Linked DNA regions of Nothobranchius furzeri. The protein of the gene in region 2 purifies or fractionates together with the protein of the main gene of each other region. This does not show direct contact. Links are inferred from orthologs where the notes say so. Each region holds a gene or a part of one and is shown on either strand. Other genes may lie near its edges. The genes, in order: sec23b, sec16a and sec13.

The links.
Region 1: the proteins of sec16a (region 2) and sec23b purify together in Homo sapiens (affinity purification with mass spectrometry; 3 studies listed by BioGRID and IntAct, with this or other methods). This does not show direct contact. The link is inferred for Nothobranchius furzeri from reciprocal best matches to the Homo sapiens genes SEC16A and SEC23B.
Region 3: the proteins of sec16a (region 2) and sec13 purify together in Homo sapiens (co-immunoprecipitation; 4 studies listed by BioGRID and IntAct, counting the BioPlex papers as one, with this or other methods). This does not show direct contact. The link is inferred for Nothobranchius furzeri from reciprocal best matches to the Homo sapiens genes SEC16A and SEC13.

The regions. Positions count from the first base shown.
Region 1 is NC_091746.1:24,264,859-24,276,068, forward strand, and holds the start of sec23b (protein transport protein Sec23B), read left to right. Parts: upstream 1-5,364; 5' UTR 5,365-5,518; intron 5,519-7,239; 5' UTR 7,240-7,246; coding exon 7,247-7,467; intron 7,468-8,029; coding exon 8,030-8,087; intron 8,088-8,194; coding exon 8,195-8,281; intron 8,282-8,448; coding exon 8,449-8,685; intron 8,686-8,766; coding exon 8,767-8,849; intron 8,850-8,930; coding exon 8,931-9,075; intron 9,076-10,587; coding exon 10,588-10,746; intron 10,747-10,836; coding exon 10,837-10,952; intron 10,953-11,035; coding exon 11,036-11,159; intron 11,160-11,210. Other genes in the region: ccdc85al (coiled-coil domain containing 85A, like), read right to left, coding at 1,616-2,702, 3,581-3,826. UniProt on the Homo sapiens protein: Component of the coat protein complex II (COPII) which promotes the formation of transport vesicles from the endoplasmic reticulum (ER).
Region 2 is NC_091746.1:60,759,952-60,770,431, forward strand, and holds part of sec16a (protein transport protein Sec16A), read right to left. Parts: coding exon 8,678-10,480; intron 8,588-8,677; coding exon 8,436-8,587; intron 6,726-8,435; coding exon 6,637-6,725; intron 6,535-6,636; coding exon 6,417-6,534; intron 5,649-6,416; coding exon 5,450-5,648; intron 3,841-5,449; coding exon 3,657-3,840; intron 3,544-3,656; coding exon 3,401-3,543; intron 3,239-3,400; coding exon 3,177-3,238; intron 1,296-3,176; coding exon 1,157-1,295; intron 1,057-1,156; coding exon 814-1,056; intron 731-813; coding exon 633-730; intron 550-632; coding exon 468-549; intron 373-467; coding exon 255-372; intron 161-254; coding exon 49-160; intron 1-48. UniProt on the Homo sapiens protein: Acts as a molecular scaffold that plays a key role in the organization of the endoplasmic reticulum exit sites (ERES), also known as transitional endoplasmic reticulum (tER).
Region 3 is NC_091743.1:73,556,214-73,567,230, reverse strand, and holds sec13 (protein SEC13 homolog), read left to right. Parts: upstream 1-5,605; 5' UTR 5,606-5,735; coding exon 5,736-5,738; intron 5,739-5,929; coding exon 5,930-5,974; intron 5,975-6,640; coding exon 6,641-6,756; intron 6,757-6,920; coding exon 6,921-7,072; intron 7,073-7,755; coding exon 7,756-7,889; intron 7,890-8,036; coding exon 8,037-8,170; intron 8,171-8,283; coding exon 8,284-8,404; intron 8,405-9,330; coding exon 9,331-9,477; intron 9,478-9,592; coding exon 9,593-9,703; 3' UTR 9,704-10,355; downstream 10,356-11,017. UniProt on the Homo sapiens protein: Functions as a component of the nuclear pore complex (NPC) and the COPII coat. At the endoplasmic reticulum, SEC13 is involved in the biogenesis of COPII-coated vesicles.

The DNA.
Region 1 (11,210 bases), about 36 Mb from region 2:
CGCCACAATATATTTCTATGTTGGAATGTTGTTAAGAGGCATGAAAAAATGTTTTGGGCTCATTTATTTTCCAAATTTGCCAAAACAGATTTAATCCTAATGTAACTGCTTCAGGGGCGGCGTTAGGCCCGGCTACTTGGGCTGAAGCCCCGGATCTTTCATGGAAAGCCCCGGATCTAAATCGCGGAAGTAACATGCAGTACCAAAGTCCAACAGAGAGGGCGCAGCTGGCAGTAGTTTGTATACAGCCTGCCTGAGCCTCCACCACTGAAGAAGAAGCTCTTCAGTAGCCGGCTTCTTCTACACTCTGCCTGAAACGCATGAGTGAAGATGGACATAAGGACGTTTTTTTAGACCAAAAGTACAACGACAGAACCCCAGCTTTGATGAGACTGGTGTTGACTCAGGTTTGTGAGTCTTATTTGAAAATATTTGTTGTGCTGTTGGTTTGCCTAAAGTTAGCTTACTATCAGGTAAAGTTGTTGGAGAAAGAAAGGGAATATTTACTATCATCTCACACTAAACACTAACAGGAACAATACTCTGCCCTGAATATGCTTAATATGTAGCTTCAGATTTAAAATTATGTGGTACAAGACATATATATATATGATGTTGACTAGTGCGTGTCACGTGTGTGCGCGCATGCGTGTGCGCGTGTGTGTGCGCGCGTGTGTTAAGCCCCGGATCTTCTTCAGTCCTAAATCCGCCCCTAAACTGCTTTGAGGGGCGGAGCTTAAACGGTACTAGAAACCACCTACAGGGGGTGAATGCTTTGTTTTTGCTCCAGAACAACCGCCAGTCCTCCACTCCACCAATGACGCTCTACACGCATGACACAAGGAACCCACAGACTAACGCCCAAACCCAGTATAGAAGCGTTACTGGATTCTGTGGGAAGAAGCAGGTTCACCCAGAGATCCTCACAACTAAAGCGTGTTGAAAAAAGCTCTTAGATCTGCAATCCAAAACAGAGATTTTCTTACTATGAGGCAGCTGTCTCAACTACAACATGAGCATATCCCACTGTAACGCCTGTGTTTACCTGATAGGGCAGTAATGACTAGCCTGAGAGGGGGCCTGCCACTCTATGGGGGGCTGTTTGTATTCCTCTTGTAATTTCAGCCTCAAATTGCAAAGTCAGGCTGATATTTCACCTTGAGGAATTTGTCCTTTAGCATCTGAGAACTCGGTACGACTCAGCACTTTTTCCCCCGGACTCCAGAAATCATTATCAGCCACGTCTGGGTGTTTAAGCAGCAGCCAAGCTGGCTCTTTGATTTTTCCGCCTCCACTTCGACGTCCATAACTCCCACCGATCTTCCCGGGATGGAGCAGACTCACGGTAAGAGTCACCGTGAGTCTTCGCCTAATGAAAGCGATTCTGTTTAGCTGCAGCATCACCCCAGATATTTCTATAATTTTTATTTATCACAGATTTTTTTTAACATTCATCCTGAGAAGCAGAAAAACAGTGAAAGTTAAATAAGAGAATTCTGCTGTGATCCCCTAAAGACTTGGGCTACAAAATGCTGTTAATTGATAAAGTTTGTTGGTTTTCTGTGTCGTGTGAGCGCCATGGGGGTGCAGAGCGGGGTCACAAACACACACCTACCATTCATGCCGTTATAGATGCTCCGATGATGTGGTGAAAGCTCATCTCCAGCTGGCCTCCTCTGGCCCTCTCTCACAGGGCTGCTGAACTTCCCATGGTCAGGACTCACGCTGTACTGGTGCCGGTGAGTTTCCAGACTGCCCCCCAGGACCTTGCAGCCCTTTTCGTGGTGCTCACCGAGCCCTAAATGTGCATGCCGGAGCTCCGGACTCCCGCAGCCCGTGCTGCTAATACTGCTCCTCTGGTACTTCTGATAGAGCTCCCCGCTGCCCCCTTGGCTCAGGTAGTGCTGCCTTTGGCCCAGGACCAGATCAGAACTGTGGTGCTTGGGGTGCTGTTCCGGACTGCGGTGGCCGATGTTGCGTCCATATTTCTCTGGGCTCAGCCCCCGCATGACCCTGCTGTGGTCAGGAATGGATATGGAGCCACAGCGGGGACGGCACAGCTGGGGCAGTGTGTACGGATACTCCAGGCTTGTGCTTCGGTGGCGTCCAGCCGGGAGCTCAGGACTGGACACGTCCCTGTCTCCTCCACCTCCTCCTCCCATTCCACTGATGCTGCTACACCTAGGTTTGTGCACCAGTTCGGGACTGCCCTTCTCCACGCTGCTACCAATAACAACCCCTCCTGCAGCCAGGTGAGCCTGCTTAGGGTGGGGGTGGTCAGAGCTGTCTGCACTGCCAGCACTGGAGGTGCTGCTCCCGTCCCCCACGTCTCTCATCAGCAGCCCCTGTCCTGGCACCAGCAGCAAACTATTCTGGCTGTCCATTGAGTTGTGACACCCTTCCATCCCTACACCCCCTCCGCCTCCACTCCCCCCTGTGCCTCCTCCACCCTTCTCTTCATCCAGCAGCAGGCAGAGCTCCTTCAGCTCCAGATTCTCCCGCACCACCTCCTCCTGTCGTAGCTCCAGCTCCTTGAGTTTCTGCAGGTACAGGGTCACCTCTTTGCGCATGACGCTGGCGCTGTAACGGCCAAGACGCTGCCACTCCCTGGAGACACGCTTTCCTTTCTGACGGTCGTCATCTAAGAAGCAGCACAAGTCCCGCAGCTCCCGATTGTCCTCTTGCAGCTTCTGATTGATGTCCTGAGAGGGAAAAAAAGAAGAAAGGGGTTAAAACGGGCTATGAGCTGAAATTACTCGAAACAAGAGGTTACTAAAGCATGTTTCATCTCACTCAAATGCTGCATCATGCAATCATGTTGACACAGAATCCCAACCCTCTCAGTTTTTTACACAAAACTGCAGAAATAAGGCAAAGTTAGGCAACAGAAACAAGTTAGCGACATTAAGCATCCCTTTATCAACACCAAAAGAACTCCTTCTTTCCTCCCTGCAACAGTTTAACTCTCCCCTAATTCCTCCCTCTCCCTGTCAAACCCCGCAGCTCTTTTCAGTGTAATTAGGCCGCTCAGAGAGGTGGAGGTGACGAGGTCTCTGAGCGCGGGCGAGTGATCCCAGTGTGCTGCTGAGGCTACCTCAGGCAGGTCTCAGCTTTAACTGTGAACACATGTGGACGTGGTGCCACGTTAATAACAACAGCAGGGGTGACTGAAAAGGAGAAAGCTGCAGCTTCACATCAAATGCTTACTGATTGAATCTAATCTCACATTTATGCCAATGAGCAGCGTAGCGGGGGTGTGGCTACCAGCACATCTTTAGTTTAGAGCTCTTTACAACCGTACAGAGGTTATTTTGATAAACACACCAGAAAGACACAACTTGTTGATTTTGCTCACAGATGGAAACATCTGCTTGTGAATTCATCTCAGAGCCCAAAAAGTTGAAAGCCTTGCAGATTTGATGTTTCTTTTCACCTGGGCCTACGCAGGCACCCAAACTTCTGCAGTGTCTTATCTCACATCCTGCCTGCTCGCTTCATTTCAGAACCTCTTGTGGTGCGCGCGCGCTCAGGTGCACTCCAAACCTATGATCTCATCGTTTACCGACGCGCGCCCCCTCACCTTCAGCCCCCTGATCTCGTTTAGGTGCAGCTGGAGGCTGCGGTTGACCTCTCGGATGAGATTCCCGTGGTCCAGGATCACGCTCATCTTGTCGGCCTCGGACCGCCTCAGCCGGCGCACCAGGTCCTCTTTGGTCCACCTGAGCAGCTCCTCGTCCGCGATGCCGGATATGTCCTCGGCTGGACTTTCGGTCTTCGCTATGGACAGCTGGAGCTGGGGCTGTGGCGGCGGAGTTGCCTTCTCCATTGGCACAGCGCCTCCGGCAGCGAGTAACGGCAGGAAATACTTGGAGGTGCGTTACCGGGCGCTGCTCGCATCCGCTCCCTACCGACTGAAGGGTGGAAAACCGCTATCGCTTGGAAATCAGTGGCATAGTTTGGCCTCTTTGCTGCTCCCCCCACTCTCTCCCAGAGCAACAGCTGACGATGCCGGGGTGAGTGCAACACAGGCAGACCGGAAGATGCTGGACTCTGCTCACTGCATCATCCTCAGAGCACGAGAGGCTGAGTGCTGCCGGGTGCAAGGTGTGGTCCTGGTCCAGACTCTGAATCCAAATCCAAGTGTGGGGTCCTCCAGCAGAAGCACAGCTGGCGCTTAGAGGAGAAGCAGAGAGGAGATTCTTCTGGGCTCAAACAGAAACACACCGAGAGGAAGCAGCACTCCCGCTCTCTCCTCCTCTCTGCCTGCTCTCTCCCTCCAGAGGTTTGCCTCCCAATAAGCAAAGAGCTCTGTCACAGCGCCACCCAACGTTATGTTTCATTCCCACGAATCCATTGTGAATATTGGAATATTTTCTGGGAAATAAAACAATAAAGAAAATGTCATGGACTGCCAAGATGTGTCAGCCTATTCCAACTAGTCTTACTCAGCTGCAAAATAAAATTAATTCTACACTTAATAATATTTGTCTAAATCAAAAGTTGTCCAACTTGCCCACATTTCACAGGCTTGTCTTTGTAGGACACTCTGACGTCAGCACCACGGACAGCGAAAATCAAGTTAAAAATGGAAAATAACTGGGATCAACGTTCACTAATGGCTGTTGGAATTTGACATTTACAACTGAATTTTTCTGAATCCAAACTACTGACACGTGTCCTGATAAAGGCTTTGCAGAGTGTATTTTCTTTTGAAATCTCAAGTTTATTTTTAAATCCAGGCTACGGTTTATGTTGTGAATTTTTACAGTTTTGCTGATTTTAAATTTACATGTTTTGCACATGAAAAGCCCATTTAGACTCCTCTGTGTATAAATACGCTTTATGAAAAAGACATGATTAGCTTGCCTGTATTGGCAAGCAGTCTCTGTCCACTTTCAACACCATAAAGTCCCAAATTATGATAATAATATTATTATTAGTAGTAGCATTTGTATTATTATTATTATTATTATTATTATTATTATTATTATTATTATTATTATCATTAAGAGCCATCAAAGACACCCTGTAACTTTTTGAGACAAGGCCTATTTCTACTTTTATTGCAGGTATTTACAACAAGCCAATTACCACCGTCAGCAAATAAACAAGCAGATAAAAATAAACAAAGATTAAACCAGACTTATTATCAGGCCAACTGTACAAAACTGTTCACAGAGACGATGAAAACCCCTGGCTGAATATTTTATGCTCCCTTGCCGTTTACAACACAATAAACTCTATTTCCCAGAGGTCCGCGCTCACCTAGTTCCGCCTGACGTTCACTGTACGCTTGCGTCACGTGACGCAAGGCGGAGCCAATGGGAAAGTCCTGAACTCGTAGTAACACGTCACTCTAGTAAAGTGAAAAGCCGGCTGACAGGGAGCAGCTCGTTCACCGACGTCTTCCTCCCACTTACGCCCGTCTGGTTTCACCTTCAGATGCACTAATTCATCCTAAACACAACCGTCTCTTTAGCCGCCGTCTCGTGCCGAAGCCAGCTCGCTTTATAAGAAGGTAAGAGCTGGGTTTAGTTCAGGGGAAAGTAGGTCGCCCATTTTTAGCTTCCATTTGAGGACAGGAAGTGGGTTAATGCTACATTCCGTTAGCTAACTCAGCCCGATGCTCGCGCTGGCGTTACCTTGTCGCTAAAGCGAGACTTTGGGTGATTAATTACGATGTTTTAGCGAATATTAAAAAGAGGAATATACTATTTAACGAGAATTGCGACATTTGAGTGACTTGAGACGTGTCCCAACAGCACTGCTGCTTATCGGGGTTGATACGTGGCTCCTAGTTTGTGTTGTTGACCCGAGAGTCATCAGATTTTTGATCTGACTTGTAGCAGGGGCCTTTGTGTTCCCCTTTAAGAAATAAGAGGTTTGTTCATGACGTTAGTAGTGGTCAGCGGTTAGGATTGGTATTAAAGCAGTTTTCATTCTGCAGCAGCATCAATAGCATCGACCAACATCTGTTAACGAATCCAAATGGTCTTTATAAAACCCAGTCAGGAACCCTTTGTAGCGCAGCTTTCTGATGAACTCTGCGTTTATCTGTGTTCTGTAGTGCGACATTTGGGCTTGTGCAGTAACATATTAGGTTAAACTTAACAAGCAGCGTAAATAAGTCGCCAAGGGCTCTGGATATGTTGATTTGTGCTTCAGGGCTTTTATTGTATTTGAAATTGAGATGCTCTTTTCTGATTTTGTTTTCCTTTGACCTGCAGCTGTCACTGTTGAGCCCATATTCAATTTCAAATTCAATTCAAAAATACTTTACTAATCCCAGAGGGAAATTGATTAAAAAATTGATCCTGCCTTAATTGATCAAAAAATTGATTACATTCAGTAGAATGTATTTTTCACTATCAACTCTGAGAGGATGTTGTTTGCTGCTGCTTTAGGACGGTGTGTTCAGGGACAAAATCGACTAAACCAAATTTTTGAGTTTCAGAGTGTCAGGCAAAAGGTCATTTTCCTTTAGCTGCCGACTTTATGAGGTTTACAGTAACATTTTAATGAACTCTGTGTTATAATATATGCATAACCTGGTGTAAATGCAATGTTTTTATTAGATTTTTTAGGTTTTGACAGAAATATGTGGAGTTTAAGATCAAACCATCTGTTTTTAGGAAGAATTTGGCTCGTCTAACGTGGAACTTCAGTGGTATTGGAAATCAGAGATGACTATCAGCTGATTTTCTTCCTGCTGTCATTTTCCCATTCTATTTAAAACATTCCATTCTATAAATAGTTTTTCTCACCTCAGTTTTGTTTATTCATCTTTTTTTAAAGGGGGAGAAAAGGTCCGTGTCCCCCGTCAGAAGTGAGATTAAACTGTTTGTGCAGTTGCCTGGCGATGCTTTGCAAAAGGCGTCACTTAGGTGTAATGAGCACATACCGGCACAAGCATAGCCCGATTAAATACACCCGGCACACCCACTCATTTGTTTTAGGAATTCTCTACATCGTTCTTCCTCCTCACCAAAACCAGCCGAGCGGGTTTCCTGGCGGCGTGTTTGTGCGTCAGGCTTTCGGACATCCGCGTATTTCGTTCCCACTGAAGTGAACGGCTCACATGTATAAAGAGAGGATGTTCGCTTTAGTTGGAGAGAGAGAGAGTAGAGAGCCTGAAGAGGGACGCAGCACCGTAGCAGTTATCTGGGACACAGAAACTCCAAACTGGACTGTGGTTTTATTTATTTATTTATTTATTATTTAACCTTTTCTCTGCTGAAGATCGGTGATGTCGACGTACCAGGAGTTCATCCAACAAAACGAGGACCGAGATGGGGTGAGGTTCAGCTGGAACCTTTGGCCCTCCAGCCGCCTGGAGGCCACTAGGCTGGTGGTTCCCGTCTCCTGTCTCTTCACGCCTCTTAAGGAGAGGCCCAACCTGCCACCTGTTCAGTATGAGCCGGTTCTGTGCAGCCGGGCCACCTGCAAGGCTGTGCTCAACCCACTGTGGTGAGTTTCTCAGAGTTTTACGTGTCTATTAATAGCATAGATTTACTTTCATATTTAGCTTTTCATGCAGGAATATTGCAGCTTTCCCCCCAAATGATTTTATTTATAGTTAACGTTAAATGGACAACACAAACAAACTATAATGTATGGTTGTATAACTGCCTCAACATCGACACAAATATTCATCATTGCCATAATACACACACATACTGTAAATGTCTGTTTAGGAACTATTTTTAGTCTTTGTTGTGGTCCTCCTGTAAGTTCAGGTGACATCTATAATAAACAGGTTCTGGAGACGGAGTCTTTTGTAGGCGAAGTGCAGAAAACGGCTGTCGGGTCCAACTTTCCTCCAAAATAATGCAACACGTCTTTTGGCACCAAGTGCTTGTTTTAAACTCCTTAAAAAGATGATCTTTATATCTTTCAGTTCTTCTAAAACTGGTGATGCCGAGACTTTAGCTCTTTTGAATACTGAAGTTTAGGTACTGGGTGTGGATTATGAGGACGCACCTTTTCCACATCGCAGCAGACGATGAAACGTCTCTCTTTCTGTTTCCAGTCAGGTGGACTTCAGGGCTAAAATCTGGGCGTGCAACTTCTGCTTCCAGAGAAACCCTGTGAGTGTTTTCTGTGTGAAACGCCACCTTTATCAGTGCTGATGCGGAGGATCTGCTTTCCTTTATTAGGCTGGTTAAATCGGCTCCGTTTGTCTGTGTTTGTGCAGTTCCCGCCCTCTTATGCAGGCATATCGGAGGTGAACCAGCCAGCTGAACTCATGCCACAGTTTTCCACCATCGAGTACATAGTTCAGGTAAAGGCTTGTGCGTGTCTGCACTCTGACCTCACCCAAGCACATCATGTACTACAGTCGCAAACACAAAGAAGAAAAGTCCTGATTAGATTATTTCTTTACTCTGAAACTTCAGAATTCTGAAATAAAGTTTCACATCAAGGAAATGTTGGGTTGTTGTTCCTCAGCGCGGACCCCCGACCCCTCTGATCTTTATGTACGTCGTGGACACGTGCTTGGAAGAGGAGGATCTCCAGGCCCTCAAGGAGTCCCTCCAGATGTCGCTGAGCCTTCTGCCCCCCAACGCCCTGGTGGGCCTCATCACGTTTGGACGCATGGTTCAACTTCACGAGCTCAGCTCTGAGGGGATCGCCAAGAGCTACGTGTTCAGGGGCAACAAGGACCTCTCCTCCAAACACGTCCAGGTCGGTTCAGAGCACCAGAGCAGGAGGGAGGGCTGGAGCCGAGCAAAGCTATAAAAATCTGGGGGGTATTTTTCATTTCAGGAGTTGCTGGGACTGACAAAACCGGCTGCTGCAGCACAGCAGGGTCGCCCTGCGGCTCCTCAAGAGGCCGCTGCCTTTTGCAAGTATGGAAAAGCAAAAGTGCTCATTAATCCGGAGCGGATGCTTTGCAGCATTTTCTACGAGTTCTGTTTGATCCTCTCCAGGTTCCTGCAGCCCGTGCATCGAGTCGATATGAATCTGACGGACTTGCTGGGAGAGCTTCAGAGAGACCCCTGGCCCGTCCCTCAAGGGAAGCGCCCCCTCCGCAGCACGGGGGTGGCGCTGTCGGTCGCCGTCAGCCTGCTGGAGGTACAGCAAACACTAAAGCTAATGCTGACTTAGCCGTCTGCTGCCTTTAACTACTTCTTCACTTGAACTTTAGCCTTCTCATGATGCCACATGTTCAGAAAGTTACTCACTGCCTGATAATCACCTCCTGCTGCAGCAGTAGGTTTGCGCCGATGGTCCAAAGGCCACTTCCTGTTTGGTCTGTCCCCTCCACCACAGGTCTCCCCTCTCCCCTGCTCCTGATAATCTGGGTGGTTATGTAACTGCTAGTGTGAGGGATCACTGCCCTGCTTAGCCCCTGGGAGGTGTGCCCAGATTTCTGCTCCGTCACCGACTCCAGACCCGACGACTCGACAAACGAGTCTCACAAACAGCAGCTCTGAAGCTTCCAGCGTTAGCTAGTGTGTTTGTTCTGCTTCTGAGAAAAGTGAATGGCTCTTTAGGTAGGAGGGTCAAATTATTATTATTATCATAATTAAATCATCATCATCATTGTTATTATTATTATTTATTTTTATTTTTATTATTATCATTATTATCATCATCATCATTGTTATTATTATTATTTATATTTATTATTATCATTGTTGTTATTTATTATTATCATTGTTATAATTATTTAATTTTATTATTTATTTATTATTATTATTACTATTGTCATCGTCATCATCATCAATGTTATTATTTATTATTATTATCATTATTAATCTTATTTATTATTATTATCATTATTATTATTATTATTATCATCATCATCATTGCTATTATTATAATTTATTATTATTATTATTATCATCATCATTGTTATTATTATTATTATTATCATCATCATCATTGCTATTATTATAATTTATTATTCATCATCATTGTTATTATTATTATTATTATTATTATTATTATCATCATCATCATTGCTATTATTATTATTATTATTATCATCATCATCATTGCTATTATTATAATTTATTATTATTATTATCATCATCATTGTTATTATTATTTATTATTATCATCATCATCATTGCTATTATTTATTATTATTATCATTATTATTCTTATTTATTATTATCATTGTTATTATTATTATCATCATCCTTGTTATTTATTATTATCATTATTATTATTCTTATTTATTATTATCATTGTTATTATTATTATAATCATCATCATTGCTATTATTTTTTATAATAATAATAATAATTATTATTATTGAAAGCTTCCCATAGAGGTGTGTATGACCCCACGGCTCATTTCCAGGCGTTTCATCGTGTTGAGGACCTCCCCAGACTCTTGTGCTTTGGAGTTTAGCTGTTTGTCCGGCTCCTTGTTTAGATGACGCTGAGGTTCGGACGTTTGGTGAACGAGTTATTTTCTGAAGATCATAAATGCTTCTTTTTTTCACTAAACTTTCTGGTTTTAAATCAACTTCATGGGAACTGAGTTTTGATTCAACACGTTGGAAATAAAAGTAACGTTTAGCTCAAACGGGAGATCTTTAGGGGACAACCTAAAATCCGTTTTCTTGCTCTTTAGGGGACGTTCCCCAACACGGGAGCCCGTTTGATGCTCTTCGTCGGCGGCCCGCCCACTCACGGGCCCGGCATGGTGGTGGGAGACGAGCTGAAAACCCCCATCCGCTCTTGGCACGACATCCAGAAGGACAACGCGAGGCATCTGAAGAAAGCCACGAAGGTTTTTAAATCTAAAACCCGTTTTGTTAAAACTGTATTCGTAATCATTTCTCAGGATTTTCTGACGGGTTGATGCTTTTCTACGTTTTAGTTTTATGAAGGCTTGGCCAACCGGTCTGCCGGGAACGGCCACTGCATCGACATCTACGCCTGCGCTCTGGACCAGACGGGGCTGCTGGAGATGAAGTGCTTGTCTAATCTCACCGGGTACGTGCGCTCCGTGGGGGGGTTAAGGCGTGGGCGCTGGTTTTGGGGTAAACGCGACTGAGTTTTGTCGTGTTTTGTTTTAGGGGACACATCGTGATGGGAGACTCGTTCAACACCTCCTTGTTCAAGCAAACCTTCCAGCGAGTCTTCAGTAAGGACTACAACAACGACTTCCGCATGGCGTTTGGAGGCGTCCTGGAGGTCAAGGTACAGGAACCAGTCTGTGGATTCAACTTCTAAATCCAGTTGCTATGGTGA
Region 2 (10,480 bases):
CAAGACTAATCATGTGTGTGTGTGTGTGTGTGTGTGTGGTGTTCTAACCTGTGGTTTGAGCCAATCAAAACGAGCTTGGTGCTCTTTTTGGTGAAAACTCCTAAGCCAACTTGAGCCATGAGGTAGCAGAAGTGTGCAGCATCTGTCAGCCCCTTAGAAGCTGCACAAAGTAAAAAATAAATAAATAAAAAGATGATCTCGTGAATCAGGTCGGTTATAATCAGAGGATGAGGTAAGTGGATGAACAACCCTACCAAGAGTGTCGCCCATAGTGGTGATTGTGCGAGAGTCCAGGTCCATATTGTGGGTGAGGTTAGACAGTATCATGGCCAAATGAGGGCGCCAGTCACCCCACTTCTCTTCTCCACAACACTACATGCACACAAAGTGTATCAATATAAAAATCTGCACACTAGCCTTATATCCTTCTTATATACACACACAAACAAGGTACAAGTAAAACCTACAGTGGCCGATGCGGGCATCCTTCCGGACATCAGCTGGTACATCGTCTGGAGAGGGTCATTCATAGGCAAACTATTGGCAAACCTAAACAAACACACAAAAATACATTTAGAATAAAAAGAACATTACTTTTAAAGTAAAAAATGATTCCAGATCAGGCATTTTACCTCGTCATGACCCGTGCATGTGTCCTGTTGTCCATCTTACTGGCCAAAAGTAAGGCGTGACCCCAGAGCCCTCCCTTCATGGCTGCTTCCAGCGCATCCTTTCCCATAAACCAAACAGGTTAAAACGCTCCATGTGTCAAAAGTTACAAATAAATCACAGACAGACTTTAACATTTCTTACTTTTTTGCGGCCAAACAGTAGCAGTTCCCTGAAGCGCTCCGTTTCCTTGCCAACATTCTCGGGGACAGTCATGAAGGTGTCCGACAGAAGGGACAGGGGTCCAGCTCCAGGCTCCTCTTCAGCTCGAGCGATGGGCTCGTTATTAAAATCAATCAAGTTGGCTTCATTGGGACTCTTCCCTGGCAGCCACACGGATCGGTGCTCCTTCAGCAAGAGGTCAGCGATGTCTGTGCCAACGACAGTCTAAGGGAATGAAAAAACAGTTTTAGAACATTTAAAAAAAATAACATCTCAACTTTGCTTCTTATCTAATAAATTTGTAGCTACATCTGCATAAACCTACCCCGTTCTGTCTACAGAGCAGCACGATGAAGTCCCAGAGCAGGCGGGCAGAGTCCCTGTCCAACAGGTTGTTATCCCGAGAACACTCCAGTGCTTTGTTCTGGGAGAATTTGATCACATCCACCTTATGGGTATCCTCCCTGATGGCATGATGCACAATGTTAAGATAAAAAGGACTTGCCTAAACCAAAGTCTAGGTCAAGTTAACAGCTGTTGTCATTCTTAAAAATAATCTCAAACAACATGTATGTATTAGCATAAATCTGAAATAAGCGTCATTCATTCATTAAAAACATAATTTATTGTTTCTGTCTTCAGGTATTAACTCAATCCTGAGGTCATTTTACTAAATAACACTGGTAATTACTTCAGATTAATAGGGCTGTAGTGAAGCCTCGATGATGTCGACGGCTCGATTCTAAAAATTTGTCGATGTCAGATCCAGTAGTCGACGCACCGCGCCCACTTGTTGCATCCCCAGGAGTTTGTAAATAGAGGAGGAATCTGCCTGTTTTTCCTCTAGTTCACCCTCTTCTCCGCCTTCACTAACATCTCTGCCAAACACCGAAGACCCGGAACAATGTCCGTCCGCTGCTAGATTCCTCTCCTGTTTTGCCCGCCTTCGTCTCCCGGCAACGGACAACAACTTCTGGGGTCAGATGCACTGCTTCATCTCTACCGCAGATGTAGAAAATCACCGGGAGCTTTTCTCCCTTCATAAAAAGAGCTTCTTTCAGACATTAGGAGAGCTTTTTTGGTGGTAGCAGTCTCCCCTCCGTGCAGGTCTGTTTGCTGCTGGGTACTTTTGGTTTATTTAAACTTGGCAACTTGAACGTAAAGAGCAAGTCACCCCCAAATAAACTTTTTTTTGCTGATAAACTAAATAAACGAGTGTCTAATCGTGCTGCAGACACGTGTAGTCAATAATTTGGCACTTCAGTGCATCTTAGTTAAAATTTAAATATTCTGCCTAAAACTGGCATTGTTGTGCCATTGTCAGGTAAAAACTCTGCACTATATTTGAATTTAAATCTGCCACTGCTATTGGCTAAGAGGTATGCTATGATGTAAACTGGTACATTATGATGTAACAGTGCTGTTGTGAGCCTGTGTGTGTGTGTATTTGTTAGCAGCGCTGCCCTCTCGGTCTGCCAGGCAACAGCATTTATTGCATTTTTCAAACAAGAAGTGGGAGTGGAGTTACTCTGGTAGGGGGTGACTTGCTCTTTAACGTTGGTAAAGCTACTGTTAGCATTTTCGCTAACAGCTTCTTGCGTTTGGATAAGCTGCTACGTTTTGGTTTAGAGTTCATCTTTTTTGTGGTGTAGATCTCCCTTTTATTACATTTAGAGTGTTGTGGGTTTTCGGTTTAGTGTAAAATATCACCTTGAGTTTCGTTTAACCACCCAGTTTAGAGTTTGGACCTTTGGAGATCCTTATTTTGGTCCAGAACCCAGTAATCTTTGCCCAGTGGAACATCCCTACTTATTTGTACTTTTGTTTCAATTCCTCACAGGCAGAATTAGTTTTATTATTCCCAACCTGCGGATGGAAAGATTTATGATTTTTTGTTGTTGTAAATAAACCTGATCATCATTTTAACTTTTAAATCCTGTTATTGTCCCTTCCTTTTTGCACACGAGCCAAACTCCTCAGGAAGGGTCGTAACACCACTCGCCTCACGCACATAAGTGACCAAAACAAAGCAGCATGGAGACACTCCGTCTCCAACCACCTCTCAGGCAGCAGCCTGCACTCCCAAGTTCTCCATGTCACCAGAACATAACCGACCGCAACACAATAAAAGCAGTGTTATGAAAACTGGAAGGCCTGTAGTGTTTATTCTCTTACAGTAACAATTTATCAATTTTTTTGAGGAATTTTTTGGTTTTTATTTTTCTATTGCACAGTTAATAATCATTAGATTGTCTAAATAGTCATTAGAATAGTCAATTATTCACTAAAATAATCGTCAGAATAATCGTTTACCCCCAGCCCTACAGATTAACAAATAAACTTACTTAATAAGGGGTCCAGGGAAGGTCCGCAGTTCAGCCTGATCTGGGGTGTCTTGAAGCATGGTCTAAAGATACAAGAATGAGTAAATGTATTCTTTGTTATCATCCTAACAATTAATAAAGTATCGAATAGTGATGAACACAGTAAAGCAACTTCAGAAGTGTTAAATACAATAATACTTTCATAAAATTACAGTAAAATAAAACCCAAATGTGTTGAAGTGTACCTCCATGTTGTGGATTTCGACCAGAGCGGGCTGTCCAGCTGAGGGGAGATTAGGCAGAACCTGAATCAGATGACCACCAGGGCAAAAGCGGGCACAGCGGTGGGGTACGGTGAACTTTTCTGGGGTTGCAGGACGAGGCGGAGCTAAAGAGAATGCAACAGTCACCGCTTTAGTACACCACACTCATACACGAATAAATGAGAAGAAAAATAATAAGATATTCAATCATATTTAAAGTTGAGGGCTGTTCACGTACGCTGCTCAGGGGCAACCCAGGTATTGTCTACGGAGTACTCTGGAGGATACGTGTACTGGCTGTAGTTCTGAGAAGCATCCACTTGATTCGGGTATTGCCCGTAAGAGTAGTCCACAGGCATTGTTGACTGTGTGGTGTCATAAACCGCAGACACCAAATCAGGCTGGCTCCTATACACCTGGCTCTAAAAAAGACCAAATATAAAAATAACCAAAAAGGGCAAATGACACAACTAATATACAAATATTAATCTGGAAAAAAGTGAGGCAAATTACATTTATTGACATTTATATATAACAAAGATATATTAACTTGTGTAAAAACCCTTTGAGAATGAAACTTCTACAGGCTTTAGACATAAACAGTCCTTCCTTGTTTAATTAGTAACTCTCCTATTAATATCAGAACAGCAACATTTGTAGCAAAAACTATTAAAATTTAGATCTGCTATTGTAAAGACAGAATAAAATGCATGTCTGAGTATCCATTCAACAAATGAAACTGCTGATAAAGCTAATGTATAAATATAAAACTTAAATATTTTAGTTAATATTTATAAAACCCAAATAAGAAGATGAGTCACATGTCCTGATTGTAGGAGAATGGATCTCGATGAAGAGACTAATCCAAGTTTGTTGTAGAGTCAAAGATGTTAAGACAGGCATTAAAGGGGAAACTAGTTTTGGCTTGCTTTTAGCACCCTCTAGTGTCCATTTGTAGAATCAAAAGAAAAATCTGCTCACTGCGTCTGTCTTTTTAACACCTTAATCTAACGTTTAAACCAAACTCTGGTACTGACCAGACCAGCCGATGTAGCTAAGCTAAGTAGCATTGCTAACGCTGAGCACAGAAGATAACATAAGAAGAAGAAGAAAGTATAATTTCTATAGCGCCTCTCAAGATAAAAATCACGAGGTGCTTAAAGCTGAAAGCTGAAGCTCCGTCAGTGGTTTTATCAACAATCTGTCGCAGCTAGTCTGCGTCTCTTCTCAAAATCCATTCGGGGTACAGTTCTGGCTAATCAACCTTAATGGGCGATGGTGGCACAGGAGTTAAAAGCTTGCCCCGTAATCGGAAGGTTGCTTGCTGGTGGTGGTCAGAGGGACCAGTGGCGCCAGTGCTCGGCAGCCTCGCCTCTGTCAGTGCGCCCCAGGCCAGCTGTGGCTACATCGTAGCTCATCCCCACCAGCGTGTGAATGTGTGTGTGAATGGGTGAATGACTGATGCTGTTGTAATGCACCTTGGGGGGTTCCATGATTCTAGAAGGCGTATCAAATACAGACCATTTACCATTCTAACAGCTAAATGTCTCCCCAGCCTTCAATAGTGACTACAGGAGTGATTCATCACTAAAGTAAATAAATCAGATGTGTTCATGACCTAAACGTGCTGGAAACAGACTGCAGCGCCAGGTATGTCGCTCAAGTTTTTCTAAGTCCAACAAACCGGACGGGCAAATGTAAAGCTGCAAATGCAGTTTTCTGGCCACAGGGGGTGACAGGGGCTGGGTGTACTTTCAATAACCCTGTAAAGGTTCATTTTAGCACACACTGGCTCAAAGAAAATTTTAAAATAAAAAAGTATCCTTTAAAAGTGAAGCATTCAACAAGTTAAACAGAACCACAATAACTGGAAAAAAAGATTATATTATTTTGACGGGAAAAGGAGCTCCCTGACAGCAGTACGCTCACTGAAATCTGTCTATGAGTGGCTCCTCAAAGTGGATCTGCGACAAACCTGAACCTGACAAAAAAAAAAAAAAAAAAAGTTAAGCCAAGATGGGAATGACGGACCTGCTGAGATCGAGAGCTGAAGCTGCTCCGTCGGCTGTGGTGACTGTGGGAGCTGTGCACACTGTGTGCCGACCGCTCGCTGTGCACGCTGCGTCGGTCAAAGTCATCACCATACGCATCTCTTCCACGTTGATTATCATCATCAAAACTGGCGTCATATCCAGGATAGTACCGCCACTGGTCATCATACCCATCTTTCCTGCAAGTGAGAAAACATCTGTAAATAAAACACCACTCTGTGGATATAAATCCATGACACACAGCCACAGTTCCTATAATGTTTCCCATCACAGCTAAATTTACAGTAATGCAGCAAACATTTAATGTTCTAGTTCAGGGGTGTTAAAGATGCGGCCCGCGGGCCAGATCCGGCCCGCAAGCGGGTTAAATCCGGCCCGCGAGACGATTGTGTGAACTTTATTTTCATACTTTACAATGTAGAGTGAAAATAAACGTATCTTTGTGAGCAAGTTTTCTCTGTAATGAGTATAAATAAAACAAAGCTGCGCTCAAGGCTCACACAAGAACTTGAATCACATCCTGAAGTTGGCTGCCACTCGGGATGTGACTTCTGATATTGATGTGCTGGTGAAAGCTAAAAGATGTAAAGTAAAATGAGTCAAATATACTTTAAGTGCTGCATGAAACTGATCTTGCCATGTGATCTGTAAGCTCTTTGAATCACTAAGGAATGTTTTTTTATTGATTGATTTTTTATTTATTTTTTTCAAATTTTCAAGTACACTTCAGGTGTTGTACTTGTACTACACTGTCCTCAGGCTCCAGTCTTGTTTTATATTGTTTCAATTAAAACAAAGAAAACAATCTGAAGTTTTTTTTTTATTTACCGGTCCGGCCCACCTGGGACTAGATTTCCCTCAATGTGGCCCGTGAGCTAAAATGAGTTTGACACCCCTGTTCTAGTTGCTGCACCACTTCAGATGTGAAGAACGTTTTGGGTACATACCTGGTGGGATACACAGGTTGATTATAGTAGCTGTTTCTGTAACTCTCATTGTAATATGCATAGTATGACTGATCATAGTATCCTCTGTATCGTGGGTCGTATTGTCCATAGTTGTATCCTTTAATGACAAAATATTGGGAAAAGTAAGAAAATTCATTAGAATGTTATCTTGCTACATTTAAAAGTAAACCATTCAGACTAGCAATACTGCAGCTCTTACCTCCATAATCATAGTGTTTGGGATAACCTCCGTAATAATCACTGTAGGAACTTCGGTTTGCTTGCTGGTAATCATCGGTGTATCCTTGCCTTTAAGGAAAAGCAGGCACAATAAAATTCAAAGAATAAATAATCAAAAGCATGTTTTAAAGCCCCGATTCCAAGCCAGCACAAAGTAATCCCACTAAATAATTTCCCCTCCAGAGAAGTGAAGGTAATAATGAATTGAAATTTAACAACAGTGAACGATTATTATTTTAAAAATGAAAGTGGCGGGTATAAATGGATCATGTGACCTCTGGCTGCGAGCAAATGCTCCCTCTTTAGAGTGCGATTTTTTTCATGTCCTACTCAAGACTCAAAGAAACCTAGCAGCCTTTGTTCAGAAAAAAAAGACGTTTTTTGCTTAAATAAAATACCACAATGGTGGGCACAAAGACGAGGCTTCTTTTTAACACTTTAACCGTGTTTAATCCAGCTGTCACTCAACCAAACAACAAATTCAAAATTAAAAAGAAAAATCAAAATTTACCTTCCAGCAAACATGTGCTGCACTTCTATTAAAAAAAAAATCTGTTTTTGGACTTCTTCTGTGTTGCAAATCAGTACATACATCATGACGTTGCTCAAAGAGTCACATGCACGAATGAATCACCCGTTATTTATTGGACTGATGTTTGGCGATGGGAAAAGTTATACAAATTGCCCAACCCTACTAGGTGCCCGTCTCACAAAAACCATCATTCCAAAAAGGTGCTCTGCTTTTGCACAATCAGCCTTTCCACTCAAAACCATCAAACAGCAAAATCAGCATCCTATCTGTAGGAAACTATCCCGTCATCTGTACACTTTTTCTCAATTTTGCCAACTTGCAAAAACATTTTAACAATAATAATAATAATAATAATGCATAGAACTTATATAGCACTTGTTTAGGACACTCAAAGACGCTTGCATGCACTCTCACATTCACACACTGCTTGTGATGGTAAGCTACGTTGTAGCCACAGCCGCTCTGGGGTCGGTCTGACAGGGCTGCCAATTGGCGCCACCAACACAGGCAAGTAGGGTGAAGTGTCTTGCCCAAGGACACGACAGCAGAATACCCCTGGCAGGAGCTGGAATCGATCCCGTGACCCATGATCATGAGGCAACCCGCTCTACCTCCTGAGCTACTGCTGCCCTAGTAATAATCAACAGGGCCAACGTCAGGCAGCTTATGACTAAATATTATTTTGTTCATTTTTGTTTAATGACTTGTACCAGTGATTTTAATTATAAAGTTATCTAGGGTAATTGTCTTTTTTAGCAAAAGTATCTTATATTAAATATGAAGCAATAACAGCAGTATTAGTTCATTATGTTTTGTTTTTTGTTGCGCAGACTTGCTCGTGGACAGCTGATGGAGATTAGCTTTAGCTAACTCTGGTCCAAAGCATCTTTTCTCTTTTCAGATGAATGTTTATGTACACAGACGCTGGAAAATAATCAATAAACACAATTATTATACATCAATTATTTGTTCAAAATAGCTACATATGTCACTGAATACCAGGGGCAGAAGCTAAAATGTTAACTATTCACAAAACTTAATATAAAACGACTAAAACATTAAATGGGGAATGAATGGCTAAAGTTATCAAAAATGTAGACAATTCAGGCTCATCTTCCAGTATTCTACAGTAAAAAAAAACACAAACAGTTTTTGAGAGGCTGGAAGTAAAATATTCCATAAAGAAATTGAATGGACATCATTATTTTATATTGTTCTGCACATTAAATCATGAAGGGTTGACTGACCTTGATGAGGGTCGATCAGAGTACTGACTCGTCCTCGAGCTGGGTCTGTCTGGTTGTGGCTCTCTGTATTGGTAGTTTGGATCATGGTAGCCTTGGGTCTGCCCCTCATATCTGCCATACCAGGGGTCTGCTCTGCCATGGTATGATAAATCCTAATAAAATAAAGCGTTAAAGAAGAGAACACTTTTTTTTTCTCAAAATAGGATTCAAATGAACAAAACAGAAAGATCCAAACCACCTACGTGATAATATGCCTGTGCTCTTGGATCTCCAGGTGGAGGAGGGTACTGGCTTGGAGGATACGGCGCTCTGCTATCTGGGTATTCTCCATAATTCCCATAATAACCACTCTGTCCTGCCACAGGGAGTGATGGGGGTCCATAAGCATGATGGCTGCCTGCTGAGGAAGGTGGTCGAGGTGGCTCTGCTGAAGATGGGTGGGATGCCCCTGGAGGTGCTGGACCTCTCGGCCCCGGTGGGTATGCGGTTGCAGTGGGAGGAGCGCTATCTGCAGCCAGTCCTTGTGCTGGATTTGATAACTGACCAGTAGGAGGTTGTGCTCCACTCACAGGAACAACTGGGGCATCTTTCTGTCCCTGGGGTGCAGCCTGAGAATCTGATGTCTTAGAAGATTCATTCTGGGACCGCTGTGGGTTTGCTGCAGCTTGGGAGGGTGCGGGTGGTACCTGTGGGGTAAATGAAGAAGCTGTGGTCTGGATAGAGGCATTCCCTCCTCTTGCCACCTGCTGAGCATCTTTGGTGACCTGCAGGTAAAACCCATTACTAGAAGGTAATGACTCATGTAGAGAAGAAGGTCGATCAGATGCTTGGCTTCGAGTCTGTGATTGGTGCATAGAAAAATCAAGCAGCTCATAATTTGATGCCTGATTATGATTAGAGACAGAAGCAATCACAATGGAAGAAGAATGTGAATTAATGTGAATGGCAGCTGGGTTATCTTCACTCAGTGATCTACCTCTTAACAGAGGCGGGTTGACTTGCGGAGGCAGAGACGGGGTTGTGATTTCTGATGTTGGAGCTACAGTTTTGTCTCGAGTCAGATTCAGTGGACCCTGGTTAGCAGTTGAGGAGCTAAAATTTATGGGTCCAGCAGAAAAAAGTGGATTTTGTTTGGAAGGTAGAGAAGGTGATTGAGAGATACTGGCACCCTGTCCCTGTGCAGGTGATCTATCAGGGGGGGTAGCTTCCCTGTGACTACTTTGGGTGGATGATTGAGCGAGGCCACTGGGAGGAATCACACTGTAATTGGATACAGGCGGGGCAATCAAAACAGGCTGATGAAGTGAGCTGGACACGAGGAGAGAGGCGTAGCCCAGGTTGCTCTGAGAGTCGGTTGGCTCTGCATCACTCACCTTTGGTGGGTTCTCTAGATTTTCTAAATGTTGCTGACTGGTTGACTGGATTCTCTGTGGGGGCTGCAGGTCTAGCGGACCATCTTCTGGTGGTTGAATGACATCAGTGCTAGGCTCTCGTAAAGGTGCCAAAACTGTGGGAGCAGCAGGAGCAAGGAGGATGTTAGCACCCAAGCTTGTAGGATCATTCTGAGCCCACAGAGTAGTCGCCGGACTCTCACACGGCCGACTGGCCCCAAAAGCACGAGATGAAGGCCGAGAGTGGGAATGAACTACTGGTTGTGTCAGATGAGGGATTCCACCTCCAGTAGCAGCAGGCTGGGGGTGTCCTGGGCCATAAATATTCTCCATATTATCCGGTGGCTGTTCCAAGTTTCCAGACGTGCAGTCAGTGCCTCTTTCAGCCACCATTTTTGCCCTATCCACCTCAGCTGGACGCACCCCAACCCCATGTGATCGCACAGGTTCAAAGGAGCTGTTAGCACTTGCTTGAAAAATACCAGTTGGTTTTGGAGGGCTAGGTGTGGGTAGCCATATTTGCTCCAGTGGGGTCTGTTGCACACCTGCATCTCCAGCAGGAGAAGTATCAATCTGCTCAAAGTAGCCTCCAGTAGCAGCAGATGGGTTAGCATTTTCGCTGAGACGAGGACTTTCCCGCTGAATAAAGGTGCC
Region 3 (11,017 bases), on a different chromosome or scaffold from region 2:
AATGGAATGTAAATCAATGTTTTATGATAAGTTTTATTTGACAAACAAGCAAGCATGCTTTCTTGACAACCCTCGTCATTGTCTGCGTAAAAATAATGTAGAAATAAAAACAAACGACATGCGTTAATAGAGCTCCGGACGTCACGTGACTCTCAGAGAGTAGACGCCATGTTGGCAGGAAACAAAGGTAAACAAAATGAATGGGATCGGCTTGGATTTTACTTCGTCTGAGTTTACTTCACACTTTAAAACCAAAGAAATTGTTTTATATAGTCAGAAATTAAATATACTAAACATCTCCGACCCTTACCGTGCCCCTGGGATACTTTTGAAAAGCACCAGAAGCTGTCGGAGCAGACGTCTTACCGGACCTGGCCAGGGAACGCCTTGGGATTCCCCCGGAGGAGCTGGCCCAAGTGGCTGGGGAGAGGGAAGTCTGGGCCTCTTGACTTAGGCTACTGCCCCCGCAACCCGACTCTGGATAAGTGGATGAAAATGGATGGACAAATAACATAGATTTACATGTAAGTAGTTTAAATAGAGTGCTGTGCTATTTGAATGTACAAACTGAACGCCAAGAGAAATCACTAGTTTGATTTTTTTCCATGAATAAAATAATAATGTCAGGCAGGAGCGTCTCAGGATCTGTCTTGGTGAGACAGATAATAGCAATCCAAAGTGCTTTTTATGTGTGATCTGACAATTGATCAACCATTGCTTAAAAATTAAATACAGCTTAGCCGGTTAATTGCTGTGATCATGAGACACGTAAACAGCAGCATGCAGAAATCACGAGGCAACGTTTTACGTGATGTTTACTTGCTGCTATGAGTAATAAGACAGAAAAAGCCACGCCAAAATAAGTTTAAGAAGCCCACTAAGAATCGTAATAAAAGCATTTAAAATAAATACCATACACAGTTGAGGAAACGTTGGTTTAAGTACCTGATATGAAGTGGTCGCTGCATAAGCAAAAACCTTTACTCTCGGGATCCCACAGTTTCATTTTAGCCCGGTCACTAGCGCGTTTTATTACAATGATCCAACGTTTGCGGCATTCCGGATCTTGGGGAATCCTGTAGATGGCTCATTCCTTATGTCGTCCGTGTCTGTTCTGCATCCTGGGGCACATTAGGAATCTACCAAATTTCCCGTTTGATTTGAGTTTTCTGACAACAACACATAGTCCAGCTGTGGGCTTCTGCCTGCCAATATGGCGCCGTTTCAATTTGAACTGTTGCATGCCGGGAGAAGTGACGTCAACTGCTGGAGCTCTATTGAGAAAACACTGGCGTGCTCTGTTGACACGATTGCGCATGCGTCGTGGGTTTTGGCCCCCATCTGACACCATATTGTAGTACTTTTTGGGTCACAGACGCTCACAGCGCCACTCCAACCCCATGAGGGATGAGAAAAATATCAAACACGCCAGAAGTCCGTGCGAGCTCAGGATTGCTGATTGGAGTTAATCGTCTCTCGTTACCCCCTGTAAACTACACAATGCTCAGCACAAAGCTCGCCCCGATCTTGTGGATTCTCGCACGGTGAAAATCGGCTCAAAAAAGTGAAAAAGTCGCTCAGTGTACGCCCAGCTAAAGGTCCCATAAACAGTGAACTCCTTTAAACATGTTTATTTGGATAAAATCTACATTAACCTAATGGGCCAAAATGAGGAGAATTTAGCTTTGACTCTGACATGAAGCATGTATCGTGCTGCAGCCCATCTGCTGTCAGAGGAGATGCTTACAGGTAAATTGCGCCAGCGCTAAGCCGCCACCAGCAGATCGTACTGCAGTCAGGGCAATGATGGTGAGACTTGCCTTCATAGCATTCAGTATAATTCTCCAATCAAAACAAAAAAATGGCTAGATTTGTTGCTATTTGCTTCAATGAAAATTGGGTCTAAAATCTTGCTATATAAAAACAAAGTTGCTGAGCTGGAAACACTGGCTGCATCACTTTCATTGTCACATGTGCAGATATTTGACTACTCACAGGTACTCCACATTCAAAACAAACTGTGATTTAAGAGCGAGTACCTGTGATACGTTCATGTCACTCATCCACCAGAGGGGAAATCTCATTCAGGACAGGCTCCAGAGCTGCCAGTTTGATGCTGGCAGACTGATGGCGAGGTTCAGAGGTGGCTGGTTCTTCCTCAGGAAGGAGCCCAACAGAGAAAGAGCCCCTGGCAGGATGGGGGACAGGTCAACCTGAAGAGGATGGGAAGTTATTTTCAGGTCTCTAGTTTGTCTTTTGTTGAGTAATCTGTGTGCTGAACCTTTAACGGGGAAGCAGAAATGAGGGTGATGGTTCAAACGGTAGTTAGCCTTGTTACCTCATTCTTTAATCTCTCCAGAAAGATGGCCAGGACTCCCTGAAGCTCCGATCCCAGGTGGTCTCCAAGGTGACACACCAGGTGACCCATGCAGGAAATGGCTCTTTCCTTCACTTCCTGGTCAATGTCTGCTGCTTTGAACCACTTCACCATTCCCGAAAACACCTTCAGTAAGAGTTTTATGGAGAACAGGTGACCAAATAAAACACATCTGGACTCAAGCAACAGCTGATCCAAAGCAAATACACAGAAGGATGAAAACAGGAACAAATAAAATGAAGTCAACAAAAGACAAAACAAAGTCTGCAAGAATAAAACTTTTTTTCTTTGCTTTAATTGATTTTCTGAAGGAGCCCGACTCCTTCTCGACTCACAGGTTCTGCCAAACCTGTTTATGAAACCAACACACATTAAAATAAGGTGAAGCAAAGTAGTTTCCTGGAAACAAATTAAATCAAGAATTGTCAAAGGGAATTTGTTTTAAACTCCTGATGAAAACTTGCCTGGGGCCTTATCTTATAAAAGCTGTCCTCCACACACGCAAGGACAGAAGGAAGCAGAACCTGCAGGAGACGTAACCAGATGACACCCAATCAGAAGTTTGGTCTTCAGTGGCCTCTAACTGTCACAATGAGTGCAGGAGGAGTAGGACCCAAAATGCAGAAACACTAGACGACACGAGGCAGGAGCGATTTGTAAAGTAAAATCCCTTTATTTGGATGGGAACAAAACATCCAAAAGGACAGGAAGCCAAAAACAAACCAATGTCCTAAAATCCTGGAGACCAAAGCTCAAAATCCAAAGGGGCAAGGAAGCCAAAAAACCATTGTGCTAAAATCCTGGAGACCAAAGCTCACTTAAAGAGCACAAACCTAGAGACCAAGTGGAGGGGGACAAAACAACGCTGAAACAAACAATGGACCGACAAAACTATGAGACAAGGACAGAGTTTTATACACTGGGGAGGATGAGAGGGAGATGAGCTGCAGGTGTGTGGGGAGAGAAACCAAGTGAAAGCAATTAACTAATCAGGGAGGAAACTAACATAACCTAAGAGTAAAACCTAAAGACAAGAAGAGCAGCAAACATAACTAATATTCTAATGGGGAGGAAAACCACAAACACCTGTGGGAAAAACGCATTAAAGAGACTAATAAAATGAACAGCTGAAACTAAAGGAAAACACTACAGAAAGAAAAACTACAGGGGCGTGACTAAGGGGGACCACGGGAGCACTGGACCTGGGAGGGGGATACCTGGGGAGGGAAACCTAGAGGGCTGCAGATCTGGGGACAAATGAGGAACACAAGAAGACACGTGAGGAAGATGCAGACAAGGACAACATGAGGGCGCTAGGAGACACAATAGGAGAACCTAGAGATGGGGGAGAACACAAGGAGACACATGAGGGGAGACGCAGAAGCAGACCGTGACACTAGCCAGGCTTTTATTTTACGTAGATTCAGCTTCAACGTGTTCTGAAGGGAACCACATAGAAGAACCTGCATGTGTGGCTAAAAGGTTCATGGAGGGTGTGAGAGGAGGAGGACGTTAAAGGAGAGAGCATCGATCCTCATGGTGGAGGAGGTGGACTTGTCTGTCAGGGAGAAGATGATGCCTAGAGGAAAGGGTGAGGGATGAAGAGGAAGAAAGATGAAGGGAAAATAAGGAAATGGGAAAATAAAACAGCTGAAGGAAAAGAAAAAAATGATGTTTTACTGTGAGGAGAAAAAACATAAACCAAAAATGTGATTCATGTAAATAACCCAAAAAGAACATCTTGTTTATCTTCTACTCTCTGGTGGAGGATCCAAGTGCTGCAAGTGGGAATTTATTTACTTTTTTTTAACTAGATAAATATGTAAGTGTGCTGCTTGTCAATAAACCATTTATTTCATATAAAATTGCAATTTGGGGCTATAAGATGTTTTATCAGTGGGCTTGATAAAACATCTAGCTTCCATCCTACCACCTCACACATCACATTACATCACCTCACATCCACAATATCGCATCTCGTTATTCATATCTTGTCATGTATAAATATTAATTTTGTAAAAGAATTAAATTAATTTCATAAACTATATACCTGACTCTGTCTGAATTACAGTAATACAAAGTGTGTTTATGGTCCCTGAACAAGTAAAAGTAACTATATTCTTCTGATTAAACATTCAAAGATCAGTCAGGTTGATATTTCATATTTATATGGAATAATTTGTGTGTGTGTGTGTGTGTGTGTGTGTGTGTGTGTGTGTGTGTGTGTGTGTGTGTGTGTGTGTGTGTGTGTGTGTGTGTGTGTGTGTGTGTGTGTGTGTGTGTGTGTGTGTGTGTGTGTGTGTGTGTGTGTGTGTGTGTGTTACCGTGGTCTGGTGCCTCATATCCACACCCATCAGCGCCTCGCTAAGGAAGACGAACGTGTTTATTGCAGCTATGTAGCGAGGGTCATACAGAATTGCTTGAGCCCTCATCTGCAGCAGCAAGGACCTCAGTAAAAGGCCGAACCTGGTCCTTGGTGGGTTAGGATAAAAACAGCTGTCAGGTCAGACTATTGTGGGTTTATGGCGTCACCTTGTGGTCATCTGGGGTAACGACGTGATAATTTGCTGTCCAAAAATCACAATCTGAGAGACATCTTCAAAAATTGACTATTATTACCAGTTGATATTTAGGAGACCTGAAAAAGAAGCACTTGTTCCTCTTAAAATAATGTTTTTTTTTTGTTTTAATGTTGTATTGAAATGATAAAGGGAATGTAATGTATCGATGTGTTCTGTTTTCTGTCTTTTTCTATTTGTTTACGTGAATTCATGTTACTATTTTATTAGTAATTATAATATGATTACAGACAGGTGTAAATGTACTGTGTGTGTGTGCGTGTGTGTGTGTGTGTGTGTGTGTGTGTGTGTGTGTGTGTGTGTGTGTGTGTGTGTGTGTGTGTGTGTGTGTGTGTGTGTGTGTGTGTGTGTGTGTGTGTGTGTGTCCCAAGTATGTTTGTTTTACACTGAGTAGGAGATGCTCTGTATCTCACTTTACACCTGTATGGTGACAATAAAGGTATTCTATTCTATTCTATTCTATGTATAGAGGGTCTTTGTACATTTAAGTTTCCATCAATAATTTTAGCTTTTAGCTCAAATAAACTGTTTCCTTTTTATTGTTTGATTATTTTTTGTTTGTTTGTTTGTTAAATGAAGCGTTTTTAAAGTTTTTATTATTCTTCTTTTTTAATTCACGCAGAACTATCATTTGGCGTTTTGTTTTACCCGGTAGGAAGTGAGGTGGGACTCGGTGGAGGAAACGGCTTCTGTACTTGTTGCCACGTCGGAATTGTGAACCTTGTGAAGTTAGTCGATAGAGAACAGGGGCTTCTTGTTTACACGGTTTAGCCACAGCCATGGTGAATTTCGTCACTTTTTGTTTTAGTTTCAGCTCAAAATATTCTAGGATGTTGATTTTATGTTTACATTTTGCTGGCTAGTCTTGGTAGCTGTCAATCCATTAGCACGATCGCTAACGGCAGGAGGCTAATCTGTCTGGATATAGTTTTATATTTGCTTGATTTTGTTCTTATTTGTTTGTCAATTGCAGGTTTCCGTTATAAACACGGTGGACACTTCACACGAGGATATGATCGTAAGTGTTTATGTTTTATCCAGTTTTATTTTTATCTCTGATGCTAAAAGCTAACAGTTAGCGGCTGTAGCTTTTATCTTCATTCAGTACCACAAGTGTAAGTGTTCTGTGTAAAGCAGCAGTTTTTAATTTAAATATGTAATACTGTTGGGATGTGTGTTTTGAGAAAGGAGTAGCACATTGTTTTAATTAGTTTAGTGCTTTTAGATCGTTCAGTCAAAATGTTTGTCTTAACTGTACCAGATGCTATAGTGTAATAATTACAGAAACAGTGCTATGTGGATTATTCTGTAGTGTTGACTGTGAAAATTTGTTAAATAGTCTTTAAACTTCACTTAATCGGCGTGTTTTGCATTTTCGTTTTAGTTGTAGGGAAAATCTAGCCGAAATCATTCACGTATTCACATTCTCCCTAAAAAGATAAGATTAATCATGTTCTCAATGTTTCAATTTAAGGAAATCAAAACCAAAACAAACATTCAAATGATGCAGTTTATGCCGCACATTTGTTATGTGATGGTGAAAGATTTAAGGAATGGGTTTCAGTTTAGCACCATCAGTTCATTTATGAATAAACCAGGTGTCATGCTTCCATTGTTTGGTGCTTTTGCTGCCCCATAGAAATCCCCACCAACATTCCTGGTGTTGCTTTGTTGTCTGTTTCAGCATGATGCCCAAATGGACTATTACGGGACTCGACTCGCCACGTGTTCTTCTGACCGCACCGTTAAGATCTTTGACGTCCGCAATGGTGGACAGATCCTGGTGGCAGACCTCAGAGGGTAAGAGATCTAAGCTTTGGAATATGCACAGAAATTTACGTAAGTAGAGTTGTCAAGTGAATGTCAATACACTTCCATTTATTTCCTAAAGATTTAATCTTCACCTGTTCTGTAATGTATTTTTATTTATTTATTTGTGTGTGTGTGTGTCCTGCATCATGTAGCCACGAGGGCCCTGTGTGGCAGGTGGCGTGGGCTCATCCAATGTTCGGCAACATTCTAGCATCCTGTTCATACGACCGCAAAGTCGTCATCTGGAAGGAGGAGAACGGCACCTGGGACAAGATGTATGAGTACACTGGACACGAGTCATCAGGTAGAGTTCTCCATTATTCTAGTGCCGGGGTGTTCATTTCCAAGCCTGGAGGGCCAGTATCCATTATGTTTTAGTTTTAACTGTTTCAACACACCTGATTTCAATCAGCAGGTGATTAACAGGCTTCTGCAGAGCCAGATGAGCTGCTGCACAGGTGATTCAACCATTGAATCAGGTGTGTTAGAGCAGAGAAACTACTAAAATGTGCTGGATACCGGCCCTCCAGGACCGGAATTGAATATCCCTCTAGTGGTTTAAATGTGCTCCTCCTCCTCATTCTGCTAATCCATGTGGCCTTCTTGAAAGAAGTTCAGGTGCTAGTAATGCTGGAAGAAGTTCCGTTTTTCTTACAGATAACAAATGTTTTGATCTTAATGTTGTAATTTTATTTCTTCTTCTGCCCGACAGGTCAGTGTAATGCACCAAAGTACACGTCTTGTTTCAGATATGTTCTCTTTTTTTTTGCCAACACCTTTAGAAAAATGAAATATTCAGATTAAGTTCTGTTTCTACAACATTCTCTTTTGTTTGAGTACATTTCTTTTTCCCTTTCTAATTGATCCTTCCTTTTTAAGAAATTACAAAGAAATTCATGTTCATATATTGGGGCTGAGAGATCAGTTTGACTGAATAGTTTTCCACACAACTTGATCTCGTCCTTAACTCTGTCTCTGTGTTTGCAGTGAATTCAGTCTGCTGGGGTCCGTATGAATTTGGTCTAATCCTAGCCTGTGGCAGTTCAGATGGAGCAATTTCCCTCCTCACATTTACTGGTGATCAGCAGTGGGACGTCAAGAAGATCAGCAACGCACACACCGTGAGTTAAAAATGAAATGGTTTTCCTAAGTTGTCACCAATCTTTTAAACTTTATTCTGTCTCACCTTTTCTAATTTAGTGTTTCTGTGTCTTTTGGGGCGTGAAGTGTATCTTTAGAATAATTAAAAGCTTTATTTTTTGCTTCAGATTGGCTGTAATGCAGTGAGCTGGGCTCCTGCTGTAGTTCCAGGCAGCCTGATCAATCAGCCATCAGGTCAGAAACCAAACTACGTCAAACGCTTCGTCTCTGGCGGATGTGACAACCTGGTGAAACTCTGGAAGTAAGTTGCTGTTGAAAATCTGTCATCCTGTATGGATAAAAAAAAGAACACTTTCAACAGTGAACGTCAGATGTAGCTAATATTCTGTGGCCTGAATAATGTTCTGCCTGCAGAGAGGAAGACGGTCAGTGGAAAGAGGACCAGAAGTTGGAGGCGCACAGTGATTGGGTCAGAGACGTCGGCTGGGCTCCTTCTATTGGTCTTCCCACCAGCACCATCGCCAGCTGCTCCCAGGTCCGATTTCTTTTTTTTTCTTTTTTTTCCCCCCCGTGTCCTGTCTGGCTGTGAAGCAAACAGAATTGATGTCTGAATGCTGGTGACAAGCCTTACAGATTTACTCTCAGGTGGAGCATCAAAGCGTCTGCTTTTAATGTCACACCTGGTACTTAAAACTTTATTGTTATTGTTTTTGAATGCTTTGTAATTCCGACCAGACACGGAGTCAGAGGTGAAAGAGAAAGAAAGATACAAAAGGAAGAGAGGGGGGGCAGGTTGTATTTCTAAAGAAATCTCATGTTGAATTTTTCACCTCATCACCAGGTGGAGCCATAGATGACATGTTTCAGAAAATATTTAGAGAAATTAAATGTTAAATATGGAATAGGGACACTCTGGTGGTATTGCAACAACAGGACTAATTTTCCAGCCGTTGGGATGTTGGTTCACTGCTGACATGTTCCAGCACCGTGTTTAGAGACAAATCGTACAGAATATAGACTAATTTCTACTAATGAGTTTATTATTCATCATTAGAACATCTTCTGGACTCAGAATCAGCTGCTTGACTTGTCAAGTCAGCCATTTTACACAGTCCCAGCCTCGCCTTGCTCAGCGGGTGCTTTAGCTTAATGGTGCCCAGTGGCTGGTAGATGTAAACATAAACCCGGCGTTGTGCCCGACAGAATAAAAATGTGATACATATTTTTTTTAAATATAGCTTTTAAAGGAGAAACTACATTCATTCTGCACACCTCTCAACGACCTGTGGCGGTATTGTTTTTGTAAATATAGCTTTTTATTTAAACTGTTCCATATGCCACCTTTAAGTTAAACGTTTGTTTAGAAGCTTGTCTCTGCTTTATAAAATGTCAGATTAGGTTTTAGTACGAATTAAAGTTTCTCTTAGAAAACTAAACTATTTGTCTCTGCATCTCTTTCAGGACGGGCGTGTGTTTATATGGACGTGCGACGACCCCGCAGGTAACACATGGACGGCCAAACTGCTGCACAAGTTTAACGACGTGGTCTGGCACGTCAGCTGGTCCATCACTGGAAATATACTGGCTGTTTCTGGTGGAGACAACAAGGTGCAACCTATCACAACCTTCCATGTTTGACCTTCTAAAATTAGTAAATTAAAACTTCCAGGTGTGTTTTGTTAATTATTTGAAGTTTTTTTTTATTTTATCGCCTTACCTGTAGGTGACGCTGTGGAAGGAATCGATGGACGGTCAGTGGGCGTGTATTAGTGATGTCAGCAAAGGCCAGAGCGCCGTCTCCACCATCGCAGACACACAGCAGAATGAGCAGTGACCTGGACGGATGCACCCACCTGTCAGTGACCCTTGACCCTAAAACAATGACCACAGCCTTAATAATAACAAACATGCTAGACATTTGGACTGATGAGAGCATGTTGTCCAGAGTGATGGAGCTCAGTCTGTAATCTGTAGTCTGAGTTGGACGTCTGCTTAATCCCACATGAAAAATAAACTTTATGCTCATTTTGCTGTTTAGAAACATAATTAGTATTAGATTTTGTAAAGTCCAGTCCTGTGTTTCTGCTTTTGTTCTACACATTTGAAAGTATTCACTTCCTTATTATTACTGGTCCAAATGGTCTCTCACACACACACACACACCTGCTTTTCCTCTCTGTGGTGCTCTGTAAACATTCTGCCTCCACCAGTGGAAAACAACGCTGGCCTGAATCATACAAAGCAGTGTCCTAATTTTACATTTTATTTAGTATTTCTGCACATTAGATCCAGCTGAAGCCTTCAATCTGTGAGTGACGTAAATCAGAGGAGAAAACACTTGGCTGCCAGGTTAAACTTTAAAAGTGATTTATTGTCACGTTTCTAAGTGTAAAGCAAAAACCTGCTTTAATCAGCTTCACACTGAACTTAACTAAGCAGGAAAGCATTTTTCTTGATTAAATTAAATTGTTAATGATTAAATGTTATGCTGTTGTTCTGTTTGTTATTCATCTAATAATGAATCATTGGTGAGCTGGCACAGACATTCCCAGTCAGTATTTTTATGTTTGATATTTTTATTTGCAGCAGTTAAAGCTGTTTGATCTCCAGCCACACGGTGAGAGGTTTGGTGGGAGTTTAGCTGCTTTGTTGTTGTTTTTCTGTTCATCTCAGACAGGAAGTGTAATATGATGCTGGGGGTGCATTTGCAGGAAGTTAACAAAGGAATGCCATATGTGCATCTTTATGACCGAGGGCGTCTTTTCTCCTTTACAGCCTCATAAGTCAGAGTTTTTGTGGATTTGCTTCAGGAATAATTGTAATTATCTTAATTGGATTAAATGCAGGTGTTTTTATTCTATATGTTTGAGGATGATTTGTTTCTGGAAACAAAAACTTCCAGTGGTGCTGCAGAAGATTTATGTTCAGAAATGAATCATTCTTTTCTCATCCAGTCATTTTCAGTATTTCCCCATCAAGAGTCTGCAGCAGATTAAAGTGTATGTTCTGCGAAAATTTAAACAAATGCATGAATCTCCTCGGTAAAAATGAAAGTACGTTTGGATGTGTTTATTAATTTGCTTCACTTCCTCTTGCCCTCTCTGCTGCCTCATCATTTCTTTACTAACATGAAAATCAGAGATTGTTG